Linked DNA regions of Ovis aries. The protein of the gene in region 2 interacts with the protein of the main gene of each other region in a biochemical or structural test. Links are inferred from orthologs where the notes say so. Each region holds a gene or a part of one and is shown on either strand. Other genes may lie near its edges.

Region 1 (4,290 bases), on a different chromosome or scaffold from region 2:
AAACCCCAAAGTAGCTCCCATGTTGTAAGCATGAGTGCTGTTTTGTTCTGTGCAATTTTTATTTCAAGTTTATATATGTGTGTGTGCTTAGCAAAAGGTAATAATGATAATAATAACATTAATTAATACAGATTGAGCACTACAAGGCTCTGTGCAAGGAGCTTAACATGTCTAATTCATATAATAAGTCAATCTGTAAAATGTCTTTCTCATTTTTGGCTTTTGGTAAAAACTTTAAAGCCCACTGCTTCAAAAACAGTCCTGGGAGGTAAGGGTTCTCAGGGTGCCCATTTTTCAAAAGAGGAAACTGAGGCTCAGAAAGGGAAAGGGGCTTCCTCAAAGTTGCATAGACGGGGAGACAGGATTCTAACTCAGTGCAGGTAACTTGAAAGCTAGTGCTGAGTGCCCCTGTGTTGCAGTGGGTGGGTGAGGTGGGAGGAGGGTTGGCCTCCCCACCCTTCTATTCCCTTCCATGAATGGGGGACTGTCACTCACGTATCTCCATCCTCATCAGCTCGCGTGGCCATGGCGATGTCAGCTGACAGGGGGTGTTCCATGGAGCACACCATGGGGTACAGAGGTGTAGGCAAGTTCAGCAGAGGAAAGGGGGAACCCATGGTCGGGGTGGGGTACAGGGACAGTAAAGGTCCTGGTAAGAGAAAGGACATGCATGAGGCCAAACCCACAGATCATCAGCCTGCCCCCCAGCTCCAGGCCTTCACTCTGTGTCGCCTGCCCTTTTCCCCTGGTTCCTTCTGCATCTCCTCCTGAGCCCTCAAGGCCCAAGACAAACTCCTCTACCACGGCCCTCCTCTGCGCTCCTGCAGCTCCCCTCCCCAGCCTTGGATATTGTCACTTATCTTTATTTCTGTCTGACCCCTCATCTTCTACTAGGCAAAGATTCTGCACTATCACCCAGCATGGGGACCTCAGGACCAGTTTGCTGAGTGAATCTGTGGCTGAGGAAGGTAAGGGTGGATGAAGCACCAGGTGGAGGGGGTGGAATGAATGTGTACAGAGTTTGGGGAGAGTGCATAGTGCCAGAATCCGGCATAGATCAAACTGCTGGAAGGCACTGAGGTAGCTGGCAAATCTACATCTACCCATCACTCAGGTGGGGAAAACTGAGGCTCAGGTTTTCATTGGGGAATGGGAAAGGGGAGAAAGCAGTGACAGGCCTCCTGATGGAGGGCTTGAAGCTGTATCCTGAGGGGATGAAAGGTGCAGAAACCGAGCAAAGTTCTGGAGGCCCAAGGCCTGGGGTCTCTGCAGCTCTGGGGGCCACACGGAGATTGTGACGCAGGCACAGCTGTGGGAGAGGCTGCCCCCTCCTGGATATCAGGGACGGAGACAGGATGGAAAGACTAGTGCCTGTTCTCTGTCATCTCATGGTCCTTGGGGGCTCCATTCCTGAAATCCCATTTCCTGGTCCTTGCATGTTCAATGCCAGGCCTTGGTGCCCTCAGGGCTTCTGCCCAGAGACCCCCAAATCCTCCCTGGCCCTATATCCTTTAGGCCCAGAACTCCCCACTCCTGCCCCCCAGTTCTTAGAATCCTCAGTCCCCAAATCCCCCCTAAGGCCTCCTGACATCATGACACCAGTGAGACACTGATCACTTGCAAGCACACAGAAGTGGGTGCTTGGAACCCCAGGTCTCTGTCCTGCTGACTCTTAGGACCCCTGGTATTGGGATGGGTTTCCTTGGGTTTTTGTGATCCCAGATATTGGGGTGCTCAGTACTCTCACTCTGTTCCCATCTTTTCCCGACATCTGGGTTCCTGAGATTTTGACAAATGGAGATATGTCTTCTTAGAACCCCAGCCTCTGTTCCCCTCACTCCCTTTGACCCTACATAAAGTTCAAGGATCCCCAAACCCCCAGCTTCTTGGGTCCAGCCGCTGATTCCTTATAACCCTATTTATCTGGGTTCTTAAGAGTTTATAATTCTGTGGTCCTGGGACTTGACTCCCTGAGACCCAATATCTGGACTGCTAGGCTCTGTCTCCTGGTTCCCTAAGGTGCATCTCAGATCTCAGGACTTCGGACACCCAGCTTCCTAGAGCTCTGGTGTCCCAAGGTGCTGGCGCTCTGAAGCTCCCATATCTGCACCCCTGGGACCTCAGGCTCTGCCCGCAACTCCCCAGGAACCCCCTCTCTGTGTCCTTGGGACCTTGGCTTTTGTCCCTCGGCTCCCGAGGCCCCCCTGTGTTAAGGTCGGAGCTCTGCCGCCTGACTCGGGTGGTGACCCTCTGCACTGCCTGCCCCCCACCCGGCCATGACCTGCGGAAGCCACTCACCCTGGTAGTAAATTGCCTCTGGTCGCGCCAGGCCGTGAGGGGGCGCGGGCACAGCTGGTGTGTCGGAGCCACCGCGGAGGGGATCCGGGGGGACGACGGGGCCCGCAGCGCCGCGCGGGGCGGCGGGCTCCGGGGACGGCGCGCGCAGAGGGCGCTTGCGGAGCGGCAGCGCGGCGCCCGGGGGTCCAGTGGCCTTGGGCCGGGTGCGCAGGTCCACGGGCCCCTCGTCCATGGTCCCCGCGGGGCATCGGGGCATGGGGCCGCCGGAGACGGCGGCCGAGCGGGCGGCCGGAGCGCGGCTGGGCTCGGCGGCACGGGAGGGTGGTTGCGCCGAGCGCCGGGACTTCCCCTGCCGCCGGCTGAACTGAAGGGACTTTTGTCGGCCCGGGCGGTGCCGGCCGCCCGCCTCCCCGCCCCCGGCCCCCCCGGGGCCACCCGTCCGCCCCAGGGGTTTCCTGGACCCGCCGCCGCTCCCGCCGTCCCGCGGTGCCGCCCGCCGATCGCCCCGCCCGCGCCGCGCCCCACGCCCGCCCCCTCCCGGCCCCGCGGCGCCCGGGGCGGCTGGGCCTCGGCGGGGGGCGGGGGCGGGCAGGGGGTGGGAAGGAGGCGGGGTCGCGGGGTCCCCACCCCTGCGGCTGCGGGCCTCAGGCTGCGTCCCCGCGCGTGTGTGTGTGTGTGTGTGTGTGTGTGTGTGTGTGTGTGTGTGTGTGTGTGTGTGAGAACGTCTCTTTCTGGCTGTAGGTCTCTATCTCTGTATCTCAGTCTGGAACTGTCCCTGACTCGAGGGTCTGGATGGATGTCTCTCTATCTCTTGTGTCTCTCTCTGTTCTCACTGTCTCTGTCTCCATCGTCTCTGGGCATCCCTTTCCGTGTGTCTGTCCCAGGAGCGCTGTCTGCTCTCAGCCTCTTCCTCTCCCCCTGACCCCACCTCCCCAGGGAGGCAGTTCCCAGAGGCCCTTGGGGTCGCCAGGACGTGGGTTCGATTCCAGACTCCCACTTCCTCGCTGGGTGACCTTGACCAGGCACTTCCCTTCTCTGAGTCGTTTCCTCCTTTGTGGGAGCGAGAAGACGCACCCAGGGCAGGGACTACCCTCGGCGGGCGCCCGGGCACGATCCCTCTGCCTGCCCTGCCCCCGTCTCTGCCTCCTCCATGTGCCTGCTCAGTTTGGGGTGTGAACTTCGCTGGGGGCGTGAAGGGGGGGAATGTTCGGTGGGGTGAGCACAGAGAAACCGTGAACGTGTCTCTCCCCTCGGGGTCCCATGACCCAGCCTAAGCCTCCGGGCACAGGGTGGGTGCCCCCGAAATCCTCGATACACAGAGAAACAGATGTGGCGAAAGGGGTCCAGAGGTCGTGAGAGGCCAGGTAAGAGGGAGACGGGGAGACAGCAAGAGCCGTAGGGTCACAGGATCAGAGTCACAGCGGCCAAAGCCCGGGTCCAGAAGACAGGGGGCTGGCGGGCTTCCCTTCTGCCCCCGCGTCCCCCTCCCATCCTGGGCGGGGTTGGTGGGTGGGGAACAGGCCAGGCTGGTTGGGGGCATGACTCAGAGGCAGGCTGGAGCTGGGGGCGGCGGGGCCAGGGGGAGGGAAGGACGGAGGCGGGCCTCTCCCATGACCCCGCCCTTGCCGCCCTTCTCCCCGCCCCGGGGAGGGGCCCAGCCGCTCGGGGCTTTCCCGGATTTCCCTGGAGGCGGGGCTGTCGCTGGGGTTGAGTCCCGGTCACTGACTTACGGGAGGTGGAGCGGAAGACTTGGGGGACCTAAAGGGGCGAGGGGATGCGTGCTGCACCCCGGGTCTGTCCAGGCGGCACGCAGGGTCTTCCTGGTTTTGTGTGTCTCCCCCGGTCTCTGGATCTCCTTCCCTGGTCTCCGTCCCTCTGCCTCCAGTCCCGCCTTGTCGCCTTGTCTCTCCATCTCTGTCTGCATCTCAGTCTCCCCATCCTGGGACCCTGAAAATGGGTGTAAGGCCCCCGGTTCTCAGGAAGGGACTTCGC
Region 2 (2,747 bases):
TAAGGGCCCCTCTGAGACCCCTTTTTTGTGATAATGTTTTGCACTTTTTCGTACAGGGGATGGGGGTGGGAGGGGCCAGGCCCCCTGGACTCTTGATGCTCCTTTTTTTTTTTTTTTTTTTTTGTGGGGGAGACCTGACGTTTCTGCTTTCTGCTGAGACCACCCCCACCCCTGACACCAGCAGTCCCCCTCCATCCTGGGGCCTGGCTCAGACACAAGCCAGGAGTTGGGGTTGAGCTGGTTTCCCTCCTTTTGCCCTGAGGGCTCACCCTCTCCCTTGCCAGAGGAGGAGGATGGATGTCCAAGCTGAGGCCCCGTGCACAGGCCAGGCAGTGCAGCCTTGCTTCCCTCCTTCAGTGGGCCCTGCCCTTTGTGTCACCTCCACCTCCATTAAAACTGCTCTCGACTTGCTGGCTGGGCCTCCTCCTCTCTCCCGTGCCTGGCCTGAGGCCAGGGTAGGCATTTGCTTCCCGAGGACAAGCGTCACACACATCAGGGGCTGCTGTAAGTTGGGGAGGAGGCCAGGCCCCCTCCCTTTCCCATGAGAATCTTTTATTTGCCCCAACTGAAGGGTGGGCATGGGGTGTTAAATAAGAACTGGAACAGGCAGGGTCACTGTACAGAGGGGGCCCGGAAGGGGCTGGTGGGTAGGGAGCGGTTCAGTGCACCTGAGGCTGGGGGCGCCCGTGGCAGAGCCCTCCTGGCGGCTCAGGGGGTGGGCCCAGCTTCTCTGTTTCCTGTTCCACCGACTGGCTCCCATAGGCACTGTCCTCCTTCACCTCTGCTGGGGGAGTGGACGCGGGAAAGGGTGCAGGGAAGCGTCAGGCCTTAGGCCTCCCACCCTCCAAGCCCAGATCCACCTCTCAGTTACGGCCCCTTTACCTGTGCTGGGCAGCTTTTCCTGGGTCTCTGGACCCTTCAGCAGCCTCACCCCCTCCTCCAGGCCCATGTCAGACAGGGCATTCAGCAGGCCTGCCAAGTCGCCACCAGCCAGCTGAGGAGAAGGAGGAGGCATGAACCAGGAGTTGTGGTTAGGGTGTGGGATCCCTGAGGAAGCGCCAGAGATCTGAGACTGGGGCATGGAGCATGGGCCGGGGCCTGACTGACCTGGTAACTGCGCAGGAGGCTGCCACTGGGCGAGGCTGTCCTTCGATACGTGTCCACCAGACTGCGCAGCCCCAGCCGTTCTGCCAGCTCCGCCCAGCTGCCCTGGGCTCCTGGCCCGTCAAGCAAATGCTCCAGGTTCTGTAGGACTGTATCTTCAAGGGGTATCTCTGGCCCTGAAGGGGACACACACATAAACATGTTAGTTACCCCCAGAGATGGCAAAGACAAGACACCCAAATGTCACCTTTATCTCAAGGCAACCTGATAGATAGTGCAGGCGGGGCCACTGGGGCAGTGGATGGAGGATGGGGATGGAGAAAGGGAGACCTCCTTCAGTGGTCCCGAAGGATAAGAGACCGCTGTGAGCAGGGGTCAAGGGTCTGGCAGTGGTGGGGGAGAGCTCTTCACCTGCAGGGCTGGGCGGGGTCAGCGGCGGCGCCATGGTGTCCTGAGCAGCGTTTAGCAGCAAGGTCTTCACCTAGGGAGACAGCTTCAGCCATGACTACCTCCCATCACAGTACTTGACCCCAGGTACCAGCTACTCAGGACCCCATGTACAAGCCCGGATGCCCCATCCCCTGGTACTGCTAGTCCTGGGCTGGCCTCACCTTGCTACTGCGAGTGAGGTCAAGAGGTGTGTGGCCCCGGAAGCTGCCTCGAGTGTCCCTCTCAGGGCTCTCAGAATCTGAGTCACTACCAGAGGTGGGAGGCGAAGGCAGTGGGCACAGGGGCTCCTCGTTCTCTGCGTGGACGTCAGCACCTGGGGGAGGGAGATAGTCACAGGGAGGCTCCCTCGGAGCCCACGTTAAGGACTGCAAAGTGCGGGATTGGGAGGTACCCCCTTTCCCCCGTCAGCCCTGTTCATAAGCCCCCGAGGGTGGGACTGACCAGCCTTCAGAAGGAGGCGGGTGAGGGTTGGGGATCCCAGTCCAGCTGCCAGATGTAGGGGTGTGTTTCCCGCAAAGGTTCGGGCATTCACGTTGGCCCGGAGCTGTGGGGTGCGAGGGAGGGGTTGATCATAGCACTGACTGATCCACTGGGCCTCCCCCGACACCTTCACCGTCCCCAGCCCTTGGCTCTACGTCTTCCACAGTCCTCAGTCCCACCTTGGTAACGAGATGGGTGACCAACCCCAGCTCCTCCATCTCTGTGGCTAGATGCAGGGCTGTCCGGCCCCCCTGACGCTCTGCAGCCTCCACTTCAGCCCCATTCTCCACCAGCAGATCGAGGCACTCGGGGCTTCGGGCACGGACTGCCAGGTGGACTGGGTATAGCCCTAGTGATACAGGGTATTCAGCCCGCAGCTCTGCCCCTAATGTGAGCCCTTGACCAGCTGACCTCCACACCTCACATCCACTGTAGGCGCTCCCCAGATCCTCTCCCTGGTGCCCACTCTTGCCCGCTGGTTCAGATGAGGTGATGAACTCACCTTCGAAGTCGGGCACATGCAGCAGTTGGGGCATGGCAGGAACCCCACTCCGCAGCAGGGTGCACAGCATGTCGGGGGCGCTGGCACCTGCCCGGAGTGCCAGGTGCACTGCTGAGTCTCCATGCCGATCCAGCAGTGCTGGGTCTGCGCCCACCTGCAGCAGGAAGCTCACCACCTTCGTCTGCCCTGTGATCACTGCCAGGTGCAGGGG

Evidence for each region.
Region 1: the proteins of NFKB2 (region 2) and BCL3 form a complex in vitro, tested with the Homo sapiens proteins (2 studies listed by BioGRID). The link is inferred for Ovis aries from reciprocal best matches to the Homo sapiens genes NFKB2 and BCL3.

The regions. Positions count from the first base shown.
Region 1 is NC_056067.1:52,307,989-52,312,278, reverse strand, and holds the start of BCL3 (B-cell lymphoma 3 protein), read right to left. Parts: upstream 2,801-4,290; 5' UTR 2,555-2,800; coding exon 2,299-2,554; intron 969-2,298; exon of another isoform or gene 895-968; intron 650-894; coding exon 496-649; intron 1-495. UniProt on the Homo sapiens protein: Contributes to the regulation of transcriptional activation of NF-kappa-B target genes. In the cytoplasm, inhibits the nuclear translocation of the NF-kappa-B p50 subunit.
Region 2 is NC_056075.1:22,795,740-22,798,486, reverse strand, and holds the end of NFKB2 (nuclear factor NF-kappa-B p100 subunit), read right to left. Parts: coding exon 2,537-2,747; intron 2,384-2,536; coding exon 2,214-2,383; intron 2,099-2,213; coding exon 1,996-2,098; intron 1,868-1,995; coding exon 1,716-1,867; intron 1,586-1,715; coding exon 1,516-1,585; intron 1,281-1,515; coding exon 1,108-1,280; intron 995-1,107; coding exon 883-994; intron 785-882; coding exon 660-784; 3' UTR 501-659; downstream 1-500. UniProt on the Homo sapiens protein: NF-kappa-B is a pleiotropic transcription factor present in almost all cell types and is the endpoint of a series of signal transduction events that are initiated by a vast array of stimuli related to many biological processes such as inflammation, immunity, differentiation, cell growth, tumorigenesis and apoptosis.